2 linked regions of the Drosophila melanogaster genome follow. The protein of the gene in region 1 purifies or fractionates together with the protein of each later gene. This does not show direct contact. Each region holds a gene or a part of one and is shown on either strand. Other genes may lie near its edges.

Region 1 (5,816 bases):
GGAGCTAGACAACCAATTCTTCTCCGACAAGCCTACGCACGCCCACGTCAAAGGACGCACTAACTTCCCTAACGTGCGCCTGGCCAACGACGGGTCCCTAGTAGCCGGCAATGATCCGGCGGCCAAGCCCTGGCGTCATGTGAAGAAGGAGAGGCGCGAGAAGCTGCGCAAAAAGTTCTCGCACCTGGACGAGCACTGATTGTAGCCCATTAGTTATTTATTCCGAAGGGTGTGTCTAAGAGGCACTTGTACATTTTAAGCATTAAACCTACGTATATACATATATATTAAAGTCCCCCCGACTTCGAGAGTTTGAAGGCCCACAATCTCAGACTGAAAGAGTTATATTGCGCAACTAGCAGATTGAGAGAAACATAGATAAGCCATCTGATGGCCCAGCCTGGACACAACGATTAACACAAAGATAGCATATATTTAGCATACACACCAATGAAAGCAAACTGTTGTTGGAATGGCGCCCCCAATTGAGTTTAAGAGATGCGTGAATGGAAGGTAATTTCGAGATGCGGAGGAGCGCAGTTGCGCGGAGAAAAGAAGCCTGCACTTTGACCGCGTGATAAGCGCAGATGCTTACGGCTCTTGTCTTCTATCACTTGGCCACAGTCTCTATCACGCAGTCTTCAGCGATGGCCACAAACGAGAGCTGCAAGCACTTCAGGGAGCTGGTCGTCGAACAGCGTTCTGGGCTGCTCCACATACGCTTCCAGCGGCGCTGGCAACGCCGAACCCTCTACGAGCTGATGCGCGCCCTGGACCTGGCGAGTGCAGACGCCGCCGTTAAGGTGGTCGTGCTCTCGGGCGAGTTTTCTGCAGCATGTGGCGGTGAGATGGAACCGTTGGCTCTCAAACAGGGTCTGGAGAATAGGAGTAGGCGTACCGCTTCCCACGAAGAAGCTGTGGGCAGTGGTGATGCCGAGGAGCAGTACATCCATGAGAAGGCGGCCAATTTTGTGATGCGCTCGCTGGCCAAGAAGCTGCTTGTGCACCGCAAACTCCTAGTGGCTTTTGTGGAGAGGCAGTGCGTCGGTCTGGGCCTGAGCGTGTGCAGCCTGTGCGATCTGGTCTTCGCAACGGAGTTATCTGCCTTTGTGCCCGCTTTCTCGCACCTGGATCCCTGCACCAAGGTGGGTCCCGGCTGGACTGTGCCACACGTCCACTGGCTGCTTCGTCTGGGCGATCAAGCGAGCTCCAGCATTGCCCTCCAGTGTGGCCTTGTGGCCAGTGTGGTGCGAGAGCCGCAGGAGTTTTGGCACCGCGTCGACCAATACTTGCGCTTGCCTTCCGCCTCCCTGTTGGCGACAAAGCGCCTCCTGTTTCGTCCCTGGCAGGACTCCCTCTTGGCCGAATTGCGCGAGGAGGGCACTCCGCTGGCTGCGCAGCGACGCCGCTTGGCCAGATCCTCGCTGTAGGGTTGCGCTTCCAGATCCGTTGAATCGATTAAGTAAATAAATAGCGATTATAAAATAATGACATGTCCCCATGGTATTTCTTTTCATTCCTTTCATTGGAGCTCCATGACTTAACTTAAACTTTAAATCAAAATCTGCAACGGAAACGGGTATGCATATACAGATGGGCAGCACTGTTTTCGATATCTTTCGACTGGAAGGCACAGCTGATTGCCGGCGCGTGTTGTTTTTTTTTTGTTGCTCGCCGCAAAACTGCGAAAGTAAAATCTCGTAATTTTGGGGAAGATTAATTAACTTGGGCAAAATGCAGCGAGCACGACTGTTGCGGAACGTGTGGCTCTGCAGGCAGCGCTTGGGCCATCTGCCAGGACGCAGCGCTTCCTCCGCCAGCCTGGCATTCCGTTATGCAACGAAGCCTGCGGCGCCAGCGGTGCCGTTCTCGCTGCTCCAGATGCGATCCCTGGGAACGGGTGGCGTCCTCAGTGCGGTGGAGCGAAGAAGCCGGCGCCCCGCCTCCTCCTCTGAAAAACCGAAAGCCAGCGTGGCGGATGCGTGGACACAGCTGGAGGCGTACTACCGGCAGCACGATCTGATCAACTTTGAGCACTGCCAGCGCCTGCTGGAGCTCCTGCAGGAGTCTGCGTCGCCGCTAGGAGTCGGCATCGAAGAGGTGCACTTCCTTCTAGGGTCCTGTGTGCCCGAACTGCTTCCTGCTCAGAGCAGCCAGGAGCGTCTTCAGCTCTTCAAGGGACTCTGGGCTCAACTGATCAAGTTGGGCCAGCCCACGCTGGCACATTACCACACGAAGCTCCAGGTGCTGCGCCAGAACCGTTTGCCTCTGACTGACTATCGCTCGTTGCTGGCGGAGATTGCCGTCTACCATGGAGCAGCCGATTCCACCTTGTACGGCGCTCTTTTGGACGTGGCCGGCGCCGCCGGAAACATGCGCATGGCCACCGAGATTTTGTCGGAGATGCGCGAGCGCAGCCTCGCCCTCACGGAGCACAACTTTCACGCCCTGCTTTTGGGCCACGCCCGCAGCGGTGATCTGCCCGGGGCGGAGTCCGTCCTAGCCAGCATGCGGGCCGCAGGAATACAGCAAGGCAGCAGCACTCAGGCCATTTGGTTCGAGGCTCTGCTGGAAAACGGTCAGTTGGCACAGGCCAAGGAGCTGCTGCAGGTGGAGCACGGATTCACCGCCCCTCAGCTGCTCCAGATGCTGCGGGGTCTGCTCGCCAGCAAGGATGTCGACACGGATCTAATCCAACTGCTTGTCAAGGAACTGCCCCGCGAGTTTCTAACAGGTATCGACCTGCCGCCCGCCATCAGAAGCCTGTGCATTCAGCTGGTGCACCAAGGACGCACCGAAGTCGTCATACAGCTCGTAGGTGCGTTGCCCGCTCCGAAGTTCGAGTTGCAGAATCAGAACGTGGATGAGTACGGTGCACTTCTGCTGCAGGAGTTCTTCCGCGCCCAAGTTCCGTTGGACCAAACAATCCAGTTCGCCGGTCAACTAGTGCAGCGGAACCAGAACGTCCGCGCCCTGCATTTGGTGGCGGAGTTGGCCCTTCGCCGTCAGCCATCATCCGCGCTACGCTGCCTGGAGGATCTATCTGCAGCCGGCGAGGAACTTCGTCCGCATTACTTCTGGCCCCTGATCTTGCACCATTACCGGCGGGAGGGCGAAAGCGGCATGCTACGCCTGGTTTCTGAAATGCGGCGCCTGCGCGTTGAGTGCGACGAGGAAACGTTGCGGCACTACCTGTTTCCCCACCTGCGCCAAACCCTGGTGCAGCCCTTGGAGGCCGTGAAGGCACTTGAATCGGCGGGGGTCAAGCCTTCCCAGACCCTGTGCCCGGTTGTGAGCCACTTGCTGCAGCAGCATCAGATGTCCGAGGTGCTGGACTTGCTTGATCGGTATCCGACACGCTTGGACCTGGCCACGCTGCTCCAACCACTTTCTTCGCTGGCGGTCAATGCCCGTGCCACGAAGCGTTTCGAGGTATTTGCCAAAGTGATCCAAGCCCTGCAGCAGAAGGCACTCAAACGGGGAGAAGATTTTGTGGGCTCCTTGCTGCTGCAAATGACTGGACCTCAGACGCGTCTGCGCCAGGATGCCACCTCGTTGCGACGTTTTCTGCACGAACTGAGACGCCTAGAGCTACAAATCTCACCCGCTGCCTCCGAAGCTCTACTCTCCGTGGTCCGGCACGCCACTGATGACGTTGACCTCATCCAGGATCTGGCCAAAACGCTGCAGAAGATGAAAAACCCACAGCTCGCCCTGCCAGCTGACACGGTCTCGCTCCACGGAGGCTTCATCAAGCACCCGCGCGACATGAGCATAGACGAGCTCGAGTGCCACCTAGTCGAGCTGGAGTCCAAGCAGCTGAACCCGCGAGGCGTGTTGCGTCGCTTGCTGCAGCTCTCGGTGCGCAGTGGGCGCTTGGAGCGCGCACAGCAGCTGTTGGCCAAGTGCCAAGTTCTGAAGGTTCAGGAAAGCGCAGGCATGATGGCCTCCATATTCGACCTACACATCAAGCTGCGCGACTTGCCGCGCGCCCAGGAGAGCTTGGAGCGACTGAGCAGCATGTATCCAGGTACCTAACAACTTACTACTAGATGTGAACTGCATTAATCCGCATACCGTTCTCTCTTAAGCCTTTCAGATTGACGAGCACAAAGTGATCGACTATGCCGCCCTCCTGGTCCAAGGCCAGCAGCTGGAGGCCGCAAAGCAGCTGCTCCAGCGACGCGCGGAGCAGCATAAGGTTGTCGGTGGCGACTATGTGATGAAGAACGTATGGCAATTGCTGACCAACGTGGGCCAGCTGGCCGCCTCTTCACATGCAGGTGGCGAGAGCTCCAAACAACTTAACCAGACTCGCGAGTGGTTGGACTTCCTCAGGGGTCTGGGCTACTGTCAATCGCAAAATGCCCTACTGGGACCAGTGGTCCGCGAGTGGCTGTTGAAGGGCAACTTGGACGCTGCGGTGGCCGAGTTTCAGCGACTGGCTAACACTCACAAGCACACGCCTCTGCAGTTCGAGCTCTTGTCCCTGCTGGTGCGACTGGGCAACGGGGACGAGCAGGAGCTGACCCGTTTTCCCGGCGTCACGGCCGAGTCCGCGCAGCAGCACCTAGCGGTGGTTACTGCGACTGTGAGTCGCATCCACGGAGCGGCCAATATGAACAGCGCTCTGCTGCTCGCCCTGGCCGAATCCGGAAAGGAGACACAGCTGCGCCGGCTGATCATCAACCCAGAGTTCCGCATCAACCACGAGCTCCTCGTGAAGAATTGCGAGCACTTGGGACAGGAGGGCGCTGTGCGGACGCTCCTGCGGCTGGCGCGCGGAGTGAGGGGTGTCCAGCGGACCATAGACGAGCAGAAGATCTACGACCTCCTGTTGGCCCAGTTCTGCCGTAGCAACGACTACGAGGCGGCGTTGGATCTCTTTGAGCGCTTGGAGGCCGACGACGAGCTGAAGGTGTCGCATGAGTTCCTTCGCAACCTTGTGCAGCTGCTGCAGGTGAACCAGGTTGAAATTCCCAGTACAATCGCCCTGCGCGCCCACGTTAGATAGCCGGGCGACGAGATAGATAGATCGTCGCTCTTATCCTTAGTTATACACTTGGTATGTATGTACACACATAAATTAGTGCAGTAAATACGAGACGGTATACCTGCAAGTCTGAAAGATCTTTTATAGCTTCTGGGTGTCCTGGTGCCACGTCTAGTAGGCCTGGCTTTTGAAACCTATTGTCATCTGGAATCTGTGCTCCGAAACGGTCACAAAGTTTTCACTCGTAGCATACAACAGTCTCCTAACAGCTTCTCCGAAACCCACTCCCAATCTAAATTTTAGTTTTTATTCGCGTTCAATCTGTGCAAGTTGCAACCCCTCCCTATCCAACCATGAAGCGGCTGTCCCGACGTCCGGTCTCCGATGAGCAGAAGGCCCAGATGGGCAACCAGATTCATGAGCAGGGCGCAATAGAGGTATTCATGTCGGTGGCCACCGTCTCGCCGCTACTCCGAACGCGGGTCCTTCCGCAGCTAAAGGATCAACAGGATCAGCTGAAGGACAAAAAGCAGGACCGCAGGCCGAAACCGGAGCCAGAGAAACTCGAGAGCGGCGCTCAGGGCGACGCCGGTTCCGCTTCCTCGACGTCGGCCCACGCTGTAAAGCTCTTGCCAATCGAGGGAGATCCAGCCAAGCTGAAGGCGCTGACCAGCCGCCAGCAAATTGCCAGCCTGCTCAATCACCTCGGCGACGGCGCAGAGGGCGATGGCGAGGCCAAGCAGATCGTGATGGAGCTGCTCGGCAGCGGGGTGCAGCCGCACTCGGCCATCGAGCGCGTTTCCGAACAGCTGTTGCACGTGCT
Region 2 (2,754 bases), on another chromosome or scaffold:
CATCGCTTCGTACATCGTAGCCCTTGGCACGTTCTGGATCAATGCGCTCCGGCTGCACAAATGCATACAATTGCGGTAAAAATGTTGTGAAATCAAATGACAATCATTACCGCCATGTAGGGCCTGCAGCCCGCATCCTTGGTCTTGGCAATAGAGTCGACCAGCTGACCCGAAATACCAAAATCGCACAGCTTTATGTCTCCGCGACGGTGCAACAGAATGTTGCTCGGTTTCACATCCCGATGGATAATCTTTAGCTCCTCCTTCAAATAGTTCAGCGCATTGACCGTGGCCACTGTTATCTTAGCCAGTATAGACTCTGGAATGTGGCGCTGCTGCTTTTCGTAGATGTACTTGTAAAACTTGTCCAAAGAGGTGTCCATCAGCTCCATACAAATCCAGCAGTCACCCTCCTTGAAAAGCGCCCCATAGAACTGAACAATGTAAATGCACTCGTTGGACTTCATGACCACCTCGAGATCCATGAGCAGCTGCTTCTGTTCCTTCTCGTCTACGGTGGATCGAATGCGCTTGACGGCCATCACCTTGTCCAATTTCTTAAAGGTCATCTTGTTGACTGCCCCAAATGCACCGCGTCCAATTTCGCCCTCATCCTCGAGATCGTCTGAAGTAAATGTGTGTGTATTAGCGCCGCCCTCACCAAACTGTAGCTTGCCACAGGCCTGCTGGCGAATTCGCTCCCGGTGACGATCGGCAGCGCTGCTGCTCGATGCTGCCGGCACCGGTGGCACTTGACTGCTGGCCACCGGCGGGGTTTGCTGTGGCTGCTGGGCACCAAAACAGCGGGTCACATGGTTGTGCTGTGATGAGGAACTTGAGCCCGAGGAGGTGGATCCCGAAGAAGTGGACGACGTGGACGAGGGCGGATGGCGTATGCTAAGATTATTCAGGCTTAGCTGATCCGGGGGATTGCGGGAGCGACTGGATCCGGCTGGAATGTGTGGGAAATGGGAGAATTTAGGAGGCTTCATAGATGGCTTATCGCCGCTGCACCAGATTTCCAAACTATGCGTCACCCAGCGAGTATGTGGTCCTCTTCGGCTGCATGTGTATGACCTGCGTGGGCGGTTCGAGACCAAAGGGGTAACTCACTTGCAAACAAATTTTTCGGTCGTTCGGCCATTGTGTGTGGTGGCTGAAAGTATCGATGCGCCTTTGTGTGGCTGTCCTAAGGATGTTTTGTCCGTTTTCTGCAGGCGCCGCGCCCCGAATACAACACGTCGACTTGATGCTCCTTTGGCCCTCCGATCGCCTGGTTACTGGGCCGCCTTTGATGGGCTCTTCGCCGTTTGCAACGCAACTACTTTTTCAGCAATCGAGCGCACTGATATGCACTTTTTCCGCAATTTCGCTAAACATTTACATAAATAGCAACCAAAACTTAAAAGAGCTAGAGATGAAACATTGATTATTTGCGGCCAATCGATAGCCATCGATAGTATGCGCACTAGCTTGCGATAAGCAGTCCTGCAAGGTGCAAAAGTAGTGAGGTGGGTAATAAAACGAATATAAAAATGTCACCTATAAATAATTATTTCTTTAAAACCAAGAGATTTGAGTTTCTATTTTTCACAAATTAATCCCAGCTTTGTTAAAGTTTTTACTAGTTGAAAAGTTACATTTCGTCAATAAGTGACGTCGACGCCTACATAAACCAATCTGCGCCACCTTAAAATCAATGCACAATCACCAGTGATTTAAAACCAGAAAATTAAAACATACATAATCATGTCCAGCGGATTTGTTCGCAGCAGCTACAAATTGTTCGTCGGCAACCTGCCATGGACGATAGGTAGCAAGGAACTGCGGACCTACTTCTCAAAGTACGGGCACGTGGCCAACGCGGAGGTGGTCTTTGACCGGCAACTGGGCCTGTCCAAGCACTATGGCTTTGTGGTTTTCAGCCAACGGGATGCCTTCAACAGCGCCAGCAACCAGAACACCCATTTCCTCGATGGACGAGTGCTCACAGTCCAGCGGGCGAATGAAAGTCCTCAGAGTTAATCAATGAAGAATTTAATGATTTATTGGTTAGACCAAAGGAAAAGCATGAGAAATGTTTGTTAACAGCTTAGTTTTACACAAATGAATGCAGCACTTGCTTCAAATCGTGGCATCTTTGATTCATTTGGGCAAGTAGAACTTGCTGTTGGTGCCCACCACGTCCGCAACATTAGTGTGACCCAGCCGTGTGATCAGCGCCGACAGCTCCGCCTTAATGTCTTCCACAAGAGCGGGTCCCTCGTACACTAAAGCCGTGTAGATTTGGACGTAGGAAGCTCCAGCTTCGATCTTTTCGTATGCATCATAGCCGGAAGCCACTCCGCCGACGCCTATGATGGGAATCTTTCCATCGGTGAGCTGGTACATCTGGGCGATCATCTCTGTGGAGCGGGCCTTGAGTGGAGGACCACTTAATCCGCCAGTTTCCTCGGCCAGCTTGTTCTTTTCGATGTTTTCCCGCGACACCGTGGTGTTTGAAACGATCAGGCCATCCACGCGGCTCTTCTTGCGCTTGATTACCCACACGATGTCCTTCATGTCGTCCAAAGATAGATCCGGCGAAAGTTTCAAGAGTATAGGCACATTCTTGTTCTTATCCAGGGAGGATTTCGTGTCGTTGACCTGTTCCAGGAGCTCTCTTAGCTTCTCCTTGCTCTGCATATCGCGCAGGCCCTTGGTGTTCGGACTGCTCACATTAATGACCAGGTAGTCTGCTACGGGCCCGAAAAC

What was found.
Region 2: the proteins of Lrpprc2 (region 1) and SLIRP2 purify together in Drosophila melanogaster (affinity purification with mass spectrometry, with the first as the bait; 2 studies listed by BioGRID). This does not show direct contact.

The regions. Positions count from the first base shown.
Region 1 is NC_004354.4:1,456,477-1,462,292, reverse strand, and holds Lrpprc2 (Leucine-rich pentatricopeptide repeat containing 2), read left to right. Parts: upstream 1-1,675; 5' UTR 1,676-1,734; coding exon 1,735-4,030; intron 4,031-4,091; coding exon 4,092-5,014; 3' UTR 5,015-5,118; downstream 5,119-5,816. Other genes in the region: Ns3 (nucleostemin 3), read left to right, coding at 1-199; CG14787 (uncharacterized protein), read left to right, coding at 648-1,430; CG14785 (uncharacterized protein), read left to right, coding at 5,347-5,816.
Region 2 is NT_033777.3:8,649,368-8,652,121, forward strand, and holds SLIRP2 (SRA stem-loop interacting RNA binding protein 2), read left to right. Parts: upstream 1-1,716; 5' UTR 1,717-1,749; coding exon 1,750-2,025; 3' UTR 2,026-2,126; downstream 2,127-2,754. Other genes in the region: Mkk4 (MAP kinase kinase 4), read right to left, coding at 1-52, 111-952, 1,114-1,144; Dhod (dihydroorotate dehydrogenase), read right to left, coding at 2,146-2,754.